2 linked regions of the Oryzias latipes genome follow. The protein of the gene in region 1 interacts with the protein of each later gene in a biochemical or structural test. Links are inferred from orthologs where the notes say so. Each region holds a gene or a part of one and is shown on either strand. Other genes may lie near its edges. The genes, in order: hadha and hadhb.

Evidence for each region.
Region 2: the proteins of hadha (region 1) and hadhb are reported together in a solved structure, tested with the Homo sapiens proteins (2 studies listed by IntAct, with this or other methods). The link is inferred for Oryzias latipes from reciprocal best matches to the Homo sapiens genes HADHA and HADHB.

The regions. Positions count from the first base shown.
Region 1 is NC_019880.2:962,677-967,032, forward strand, and holds the start of hadha (trifunctional enzyme subunit alpha, mitochondrial), read left to right. Parts: upstream 1-1,316; 5' UTR 1,317-1,378; coding exon 1,379-1,445; intron 1,446-2,418; coding exon 2,419-2,460; intron 2,461-2,536; coding exon 2,537-2,607; intron 2,608-2,671; coding exon 2,672-2,805; intron 2,806-2,934; coding exon 2,935-3,073; intron 3,074-3,146; coding exon 3,147-3,266; intron 3,267-3,522; coding exon 3,523-3,625; intron 3,626-3,709; coding exon 3,710-3,832; intron 3,833-3,945; coding exon 3,946-4,064; intron 4,065-4,250; coding exon 4,251-4,307; intron 4,308-4,356. UniProt on the Homo sapiens protein: Mitochondrial trifunctional enzyme catalyzes the last three of the four reactions of the mitochondrial beta-oxidation pathway.
Region 2 is NC_019882.2:19,086,816-19,090,631, reverse strand, and holds the end of hadhb (trifunctional enzyme subunit beta, mitochondrial), read left to right. Parts: intron 1-2,963; coding exon 2,964-3,128; intron 3,129-3,198; coding exon 3,199-3,234; 3' UTR 3,235-3,530; downstream 3,531-3,816. UniProt on the Homo sapiens protein: Mitochondrial trifunctional enzyme catalyzes the last three of the four reactions of the mitochondrial beta-oxidation pathway.

The sequences.
Region 1 (4,356 bases):
TCAGGCCCCGTTCTATTATAAGAGAAAACTGCTCGTCAGAACATTTGTGAAAGCTAGTGTTTTTTTTCCCATACATTTTATTTATTGACAACATATGCTGCAAAGGTGAGAATACAGCTCTGCCAAAATGGGTTTTCTGTTCCAGCCACAAGTTTGTTTCTGCCTCATGTTCTTATCAACAGTTTCCACAAATGAACCAGTTATTCAAACATTTAAACAAAAAGAGCCGTTAATGTCAACATAAGACAATTAAACTTTAGTGTCATAACATGAATGTCAAATTGGACGACTTTGAATGAAAGATCTGTCTAAATGGATGCAGACTGCCCCCTTTGGTAGCTTCCATGTACTGAATGCATGTTCCCAGTCGGGTTTATTTTAATGTCAAGTGGAAACTGTTTTTTTTGTTGTTGTTTTTTTTTTTACTTATAACGGATTCCTGCTAAATTTAGAAATGTGAGGAGGTTTCTGGAGAAGAAAATAGAAGGTCAGAAGAAGCAGATTTGTGTCTTTGTAGATTTAGAGGAAGTCTATGACGGGATCCAGAGAGGAGCTGTGGTTTGGATGAGGACGTCTGGAGTGACACAGAAGAACGATGGAGATCTTCAGGCCACGGATGAGGGCTGGAAGACAGTGGTGAGATGTTCTGTAGGGGTGACAGAGATGGGGCTGCATCAAAGGTCAGCTTGGAGCTCCTTCTTGTTTCCACTGTGATGGACAGACTGACGGATGAGGTTAGACAGGAATCTATGTGGACCATCATGTTTGCAGATGATACTGTGGAAAGGTTGGAAAGGTGGAGGAAAGTTTCATGTGTGACCAAAGAATGAAAGGAAATGTGTAGAATAGTAAATCACTGCATGGATTTTACTGCTATATTGTCAAACAGTTTAAATGTAGACAATAACAGATCATATTTTCTGATATAGTGTTATTTTTAATTTTAGGATTTTTCTAATGAAAATAATCTGCACATATTTTAGATAATTTGATTTAGTGTCTAATTATCCTAAGTTTGATACGTCTTTGTATGAATGTATGACTGCAGATTGTGTTGTTTTGTGCATTATTCTTGCTTTGATTGCTTTAAATAAACCATTTAAAATCAAAAAATCTAATTAAATATTTGAAAAAGTTGTGGGGGTGAAAAAATGTATAGAACTTCAAGAAAAGTATTACGTTTATTCTGTAAAAACGACATTCAGTGTCAAGGAATGTGTTGACCCACAACTTCCAATCAAAAACGGGGTCTTCAGAAGTAGCCAATAACAAGCCCGCATTCTCCAGTAGCGACCAATGAAATCCTAGCAGGAGAAATCCATTTCCGGAAGTGACTGAGTTTGTAGTCTTCTGCTCCACACTGACCTCCGCTCCCAACATGGCTGGTGTCCGAGCCCTTGGTGTTCTCTCCAAGCTGTCAGCGAGGAGATATGCTCTTATTTCAGGTAGAACAAACCTTTGCGGAGTTTGAACGGCGGCGAGGAGCAGGCGGGAGTTTTACTTGGTAATAGATAACGAGGTCTGCTTTAGCTTCTGTTCCCACAGAGACAACTAGCTTGTAGCTTCGCAGAAGTGAGCGCGGTGCTGTTAAGCAAACGTGTTGGTGTCGTTCAAAGAAAACGTGTCGTAAAACACTAGTTCGTGGATTTCCCTCCGAACGTAAACAGATTCCGGTTTGTTTGGTCCGTGAAGCCGCAGCGCAAACCTCCAAGTTGTGCTAATTAGCTTCCTGCTACGGAATCAATGGTGATCCGTGGCTAGGATTCAGAACCGCCTGAGCGAGCCGGTCCATTTACGGTTCTGGCTGCGGGTTTAACAGATCCGTTCTGATCTGGCGCGTGTTTAGGCAAATGTCTGAAAGTGAGGGTCATTCATCGCCATTGTGTCTGTAGGGGGGAATGTAGGTGAAGGGTCATTGTCGAGGAGAGTGCTCAGCGCATGCGCGCGAGAGGTCACGGCTGTCACACGAGGACACCTCAGTGAAACCGAACATGTTGTTAGAGTACCACAGGTGTGTTTTCGAGACAGACTGTTTTTTTTGGGAGCATTTCATAGGAAGGACTCAGATTCTCTGTGGCAGGTCTGGTTCTGGTCTGATCCAGACCCGGTTTCTTTTAAGGGTTGTTCTGGTTTGATAGCTCACCTGAACTCAGGTTCTGTTGTAGAGAGTGGGGTTTCTGTTCTGGTTCGCTTTTCTTTTCCTGCTTTTGGTCAGGTCGTGGGAAAGTAGCGCCCCCAGATGAGCAGTTTGTGGAACTGCACGGTTCTCCCAGGCGTTTTGGGCCACTCCGGTTTTCTGCTGGAAGCAAACCGAGCATGATTATCCACAGGACCGCTCCAGAGCTAAAACAGCCTAAATAAGGGAAAAGAGCTGCAGCTGTAGTCTACTAACCACTGTCACTGTGTTTTCTCTTTCAGGCAGCATCTATCGCTCATTCTCCCTGGCTCCTGCCATGCTAGGTAACTCCCCTCCTGCTGCCTTCAGGTCCCGTCGTTCTTCGGCGTTTGACCTTTTCCCCGTCTGCTCTCTTCGCAGCTCGGACCCACGTGAACTATGAGATCAAGGATGACGTGGCCGTGGTCCGAATCAACGATCCAAACTCAAAGGTGAGAACTCAAACTCGGCTGGTTTGACTCCGATGGCGTGACTTTAGCTGCGGCGCGTCTTCAGGTCAACACGCTGTCGACGCAAATGCAAAAGGACCTGACGGAAGTCATGGAGGAAGTGTGGGCCAACGACGCCGTCAAAAGTGCCGTTCTGATCTCCTCCAAGCCTGGATGTTTCATCGCTGGGGCCGATATTAAGTAAGAGTCCCTGCAGCCGAAGCTTTTGTTTGGTGTCGGCCTGCAGGCGCTTTAGCAGCTTTCCTGAGTAACCACGCTTTGTTTGGGTGTGGATCCGGTGACGAGTCTGGGAAACGTTGTGCGTTTCAGCATGATCCAGAGCTGTAAGAGCGCAGAGGAGGTCAGCAGACTGTCTCAGGAAGGCCAGAAGATGTTCGAGAAGATTGAAAAATCTCCCAAACCTGTGGTTGCTGCCATCAACGGCTCGTGTTTAGGAGGAGGCTTGGAGGTGAGTGCTTCCTGTTGTCCTGTCGGAGGTGAACTCGGCCTCGTTGTCACTGTTTGTTTGTTGTTGTTTTTAGTTTGCCATCGCCTGTCAGTACAGAATCGCAACCAAAAGCAAGAAGACAGTTCTGGGTACTCCTGAAGTCATGCTGGGCCTCTTACCTGGAGCCGGAGGCACGCAGAGACTCCCCAAGATGGTGGGTGCTCACATCAGGTGACCTGTTTGCTTAATGACATGCAGAAACATCAGCTTCACTCCCCAATCCAGCATCTCTGCCCTCCTGTTTAAGGCTGCAGAAAGGTCTAAATCTGCCTTTTAATCTGAGATTAAGGTGTTCTTTAGTCAGAAGGCCGTAATGGAATCCATCCGTGCATCAAATGCATTCCAAGTTCTTGATGGATCTGTTTTTCTCTGGCCTCCTTCGTCCCTGAACACGTCTGTCTTTGGTGCAGGTGGGTCTTCCTAACGCCTTTGACATGATGCTGACGGGAAGAAACATCAGAGCGGACAAAGCCAAGAAGATGGGGCTGGTCCACCAGCTCATAGACCCCCTGGGTAAGAAGAAACAGCTTCCAGTGACCCGCTCGCGAATATTATGGGATGTTTGGGGACTTTTCATGTTTTAATGGTCACAAACAGGACCTGGATTGAAGAGTCCAGAAGAAAGAACCATAGAATACTTGGAGGAAGTGGCTGTGGAATGTGCCAAAGGGATCGTTAACAAGAAGATCGCTCTCCACAAAGAGAAGAGCATGATGCAGAGTGAGTTCTATGGGTCTGAGCCGGTTCTCTGGGTCTGAGCGAGTTCTGTGGGTCGGACTCCCTTCAGGCTTTTCTTCTGTGTCCGTGGGATTCAAACCTGCTTGTCTTCACAGAAATCCAGGACTATGTGATGAGTTTTGAGTTTGTGAGGAACCAGATTTACAAAACGGTCCAGAGCAAAGTGATGAAGCAGAGCAAGGGGCTGTATCCGGCACCGCTGAAGATCATTGAAGTGAGTGGAACCAGAATAAAGACGGACGCCAGCGACCCTTGAATGATTCTGTCAATGAGGAAAATTTAAAGAAAATGTAAAAAAGGAATAGAATTAGCCAAAACATCCTCCATACATGAAGCTAACGCGTGCTGCAGCTGTGGTCAGAACGGTTGAATGCTAACGCTAGCCTCTGTTGGGTCTCAGTGTGTGAAGGTGGGAGTGGAACAAGGGCCAGTGGCCGGATACCTGGCTGAGTCTCAGGTACGGTTCGTGCGCCTTCATCAGCAGTTTGGTTGAAGCACCAAAGCCA
Region 2 (3,816 bases), on another chromosome or scaffold:
AGCTGTAGAAATGGGACTATAAATGATGTTATAGCTGCAGACTTGGGACTAGACATGAGGTTATAGCTGGAGACTTGGGAGTAGACATGACGTTATAGCTGGAGACTTGGGACTAGACATGAAGTTATAGCTGTAGACTTGGGACTAGACATGAAGTTATAGCTGGAGACTTGGGACTAGACATGAGGTTATAGTTGTAGACCTGGGACTAGACATGAGGTTATAGTTGTAGACCTGGGACTAGACATGAGGTTATAGCTGTAGAAATGGGACTATAAATGATGTTATAGCTGCAGACTTGGGACTAGGCATGAGGTTACATCTGTATACTTGGGACTAGACATGAAGTTATAGCTGGAGACTTCGGACTAGACGAGTTGCAGCTGTAGACTTGGGACTAGACATAAGGTTATAGCTGTAGACATGGGACTAGACATGACGTTATAACTGTAAACTTGGGACTAGACGAGTTACAGCTGTAGACTTGGGACTAGACATGAGGTTATAGCTGGAGATTTGGGACTAGACATGACGTTATAGCTGGAGACTTGGGACTAGACATGACGTTATAGCTGGAGACTTGGGACTAGATATGAGGTTATAGCTGTAGACTTGGGACTAAACGTAAAGTTATAGCCATAGACTTGGGACTAGAAATGAAATTATAGCTGGAGACTTGGGACTAGATCAGTTACAGCTGTAGACTTGTAACTAGACATGAAGTTAAAGCTGTAGACTTGGGACTAGACATGAAGTTATAGCTGGAGATTAGGGACAAGACGAGTTATAGCTGGAGACTTGGGACTAGATCAGTTACAGCTGTAGACTTGTAACTAGACATGATCTTATAGCTGTAGACTTGGGACTAGACATGAGGTCATAGCTGTAGACTTGGGACTAGATATGAGGTTATAGCTGTAGAAATTGGACTATAAATGATGTTATAGCTGCAGACGTGGGACTAGGCATGAGGTTACATCTGTATACTTGGGACTAGACATGAAGTTATAGCTGGAGACTTGGGACTAGACGAGTTGCAGCTGTAGACTTGGGACTAGACATAAGGTTATAGCTGTAGACTTGGGACTAGACATGACGTTATAACTGTCAACTTGGGACTAGACGAGTTACAGCTGTAGACTTGGGACTAGACATGAGGTTATAGCTGTCGAAATGGGATTTTAAATGAAATTATAGCTGTAGACTTGGGACTAAACGTAAAGTTATAGCCATAGACTTGGGACTAGAAATGAAATTATAGCTGGAGACTTGGGACTAGATCAGTTACAGCTGTAGACTTGTAACTAGACATGATCTTATAGCTGTAGACTTGGGACTAGACATGAGGTCATAGCTGTAGACTTGGGACTAGATATGAGGTTATAGCTGTAGAAATTGGACTATAAATGATGTTATAGCTGCAGACGTGGGACTAGGCATGAGGTTACATCTGTATACTTGGGACTAGACATGAAGTTATAGCTGGAGACTTGGGACTAGACGAGTTGCAGCTGTAGACTTGGGACTAGACATAAGGTTATAGCTGTAGACTTGGGACTAGACATGACGTTATAACTGTCAACTTGGGACTAGACGAGTTACAGCTGTAGACTTGGGACTAGACATGAGGTTATAGCTGTCGAAATGGGATTTTAAATGAAATTATAGCTGTAGACTTGGGACTAGACAGGAAATTGCCTTACCTTAATCCAGTGCTTCTCAATTATTTTTTGCCAGGCCCCCCCTAGGAAAAGAAAATGTTTCGCGCCCCCCCTGACCCCCCCCCCCCCATAACCCCCCCCCCCACACACACACACAGACACACTCGCGCGGTGACAATACATCAGGTCAGTATCTATAAAATTTGTATACCTAAAATTGTATCTTTTAACACTAACAAAAGAAAAAAGCAAAATAAATCCACTTTCAACAAATATTAACTTTATTTAGCCACAGAAACCCTGTTCTAGTCTAAAACAGAAAAGAAGCTGAAAGTACCTGAAATAAAAAAAATCTGTCATTCCTTATTTAAACTAGAAACATTTTGACCAACTGAACCATTTGATGCTGAAAAAAATAATTCAATCAATAAATAATATTAAATCTAAATTGATCTGAAACATTAACACAGCAGCACCAATATATTTAACGTTTTTAGTCTGAAGAAATAGGTAAAAACGTGCTGATTTTTTTTTTCTAAATGACGGATTGTTTATTTCTGATCTCATAAAAGTGCAGCTGTTTTCCTGCATTACCTGCTGTCTTTATGTCTGTCTGACACTAACTAAACCACAGGCAGACAAAGAAAACATGGATGGAAAATAAAGACACGTCATCAAAATGTCTACAATAGTTCATAAAGAATGACATTGTTAGCATGAGCTTAGGAATCTAAGGGCAGCGGTGATCTTGGGCAACAGGCAGCGGTAGCAGTGGTCCGCGTGCCCCGATTCCCCTGGCAGACAGGGCCCACACCACCCCTCCCCTTTCGTTCTCACTCGCGCAGCCGCGGACAGACAGAACAGACAATAGGAACCGAATAGTGGACCAGATTATTTTCCAAGCACTGAGCCGCTGTCACCGCTGCCCCCACGTTAAATTTGCGCACCGGACAAACCTGTGCCTAAAACCGCCACCACCGCGCGCCCCCCCTGGCATCGCTTCGTGCCCCCCCCTGGGGGCGCGCCCCACTATTTGAGAAGCACTGCCTTAATCGGACGGGGATGTAGAAGGATGTGAATGTTTGTAAATGAAGTGCTGTAGACTTGGGACTAGACATGAAGTCACACCTTAAGACTTGACCAGAGCTTTAGAAAAGGGGACTTGTGAGCATCTGCCAGCAGAACAGAAGAAGTCTTTTTTATTTTTATTTCCATGCCTCTAAGTCTGATTGTCAGAAATCAAGACACTTTCTAATGTTAAATCCTCATCTCGGTCTGATGTCTGTGTCTTGGTGTTTGCAGGTTGGGGCTCCTCCCATGGAGAAGTTCAACACGTGGGGGGGCTCTCTGTCTCTGGGACACCCCTTCGGTGCCACCGGCTGCAGGCTGGTGACCACAGTGGCTCATCGACTGAAGAGGGAGGGGGGGCAGTACGGGCTGGTGGCAGCCTGTGCCGCAGGAGGACAGGTAACTAGGAAACACCTTCTTTTTTTCTTAAGCTTCAGGATGTCTGTCTCACGTCTTTCTTGGATTTCAGGGTCACGCCATGGTGGTGGAGGCTTATCCACAATAACTCTGTTAGATCTTCATCCTCGTCACGCCTGCAGTCCATGCTGACTAACATGTTTGTAGACGCTGGAGGGTCCACAAACGCACCGCCTTGCCTTGATCGGACGGGGATGTAGAAGGATGTGAATGTTTGTAAATGAAATGCTGTTAGGAGGTTGAAGAAAGTGCAGAAGATTGACTTGATGAACTTCCTGTCTGCAGTTTAATATTACCATGGTGACTCTAATGTTTATAAATGCTGTAATATTTTTTTTTGTTACAAATGAAATGGTGTCAAAATAAAAATAATTGGAACAACGTTTCTGGATCTGCTGCCTTTATACTTCTTTCAGAATTTTCTCGGTCCTCCACTTGCTACCAGTATGAAAGCCACCTGTCCACATCCTTAAAGAGTGTGTAACCTCTCCACCAAGGCCAAAGAGCTGTCAAAGGATACTAAGGAGGATTACACTGCATTCCAAATTATTATGCGAATTGTATTGTCAAAATAACAAAATTCTTTAATTAAACTCACGGATAATTTTTTGTCTCTGGGCTCTTTGGGTCACTGACAACAGACACCTGTCATAATTAGCTTGTCAGGTGA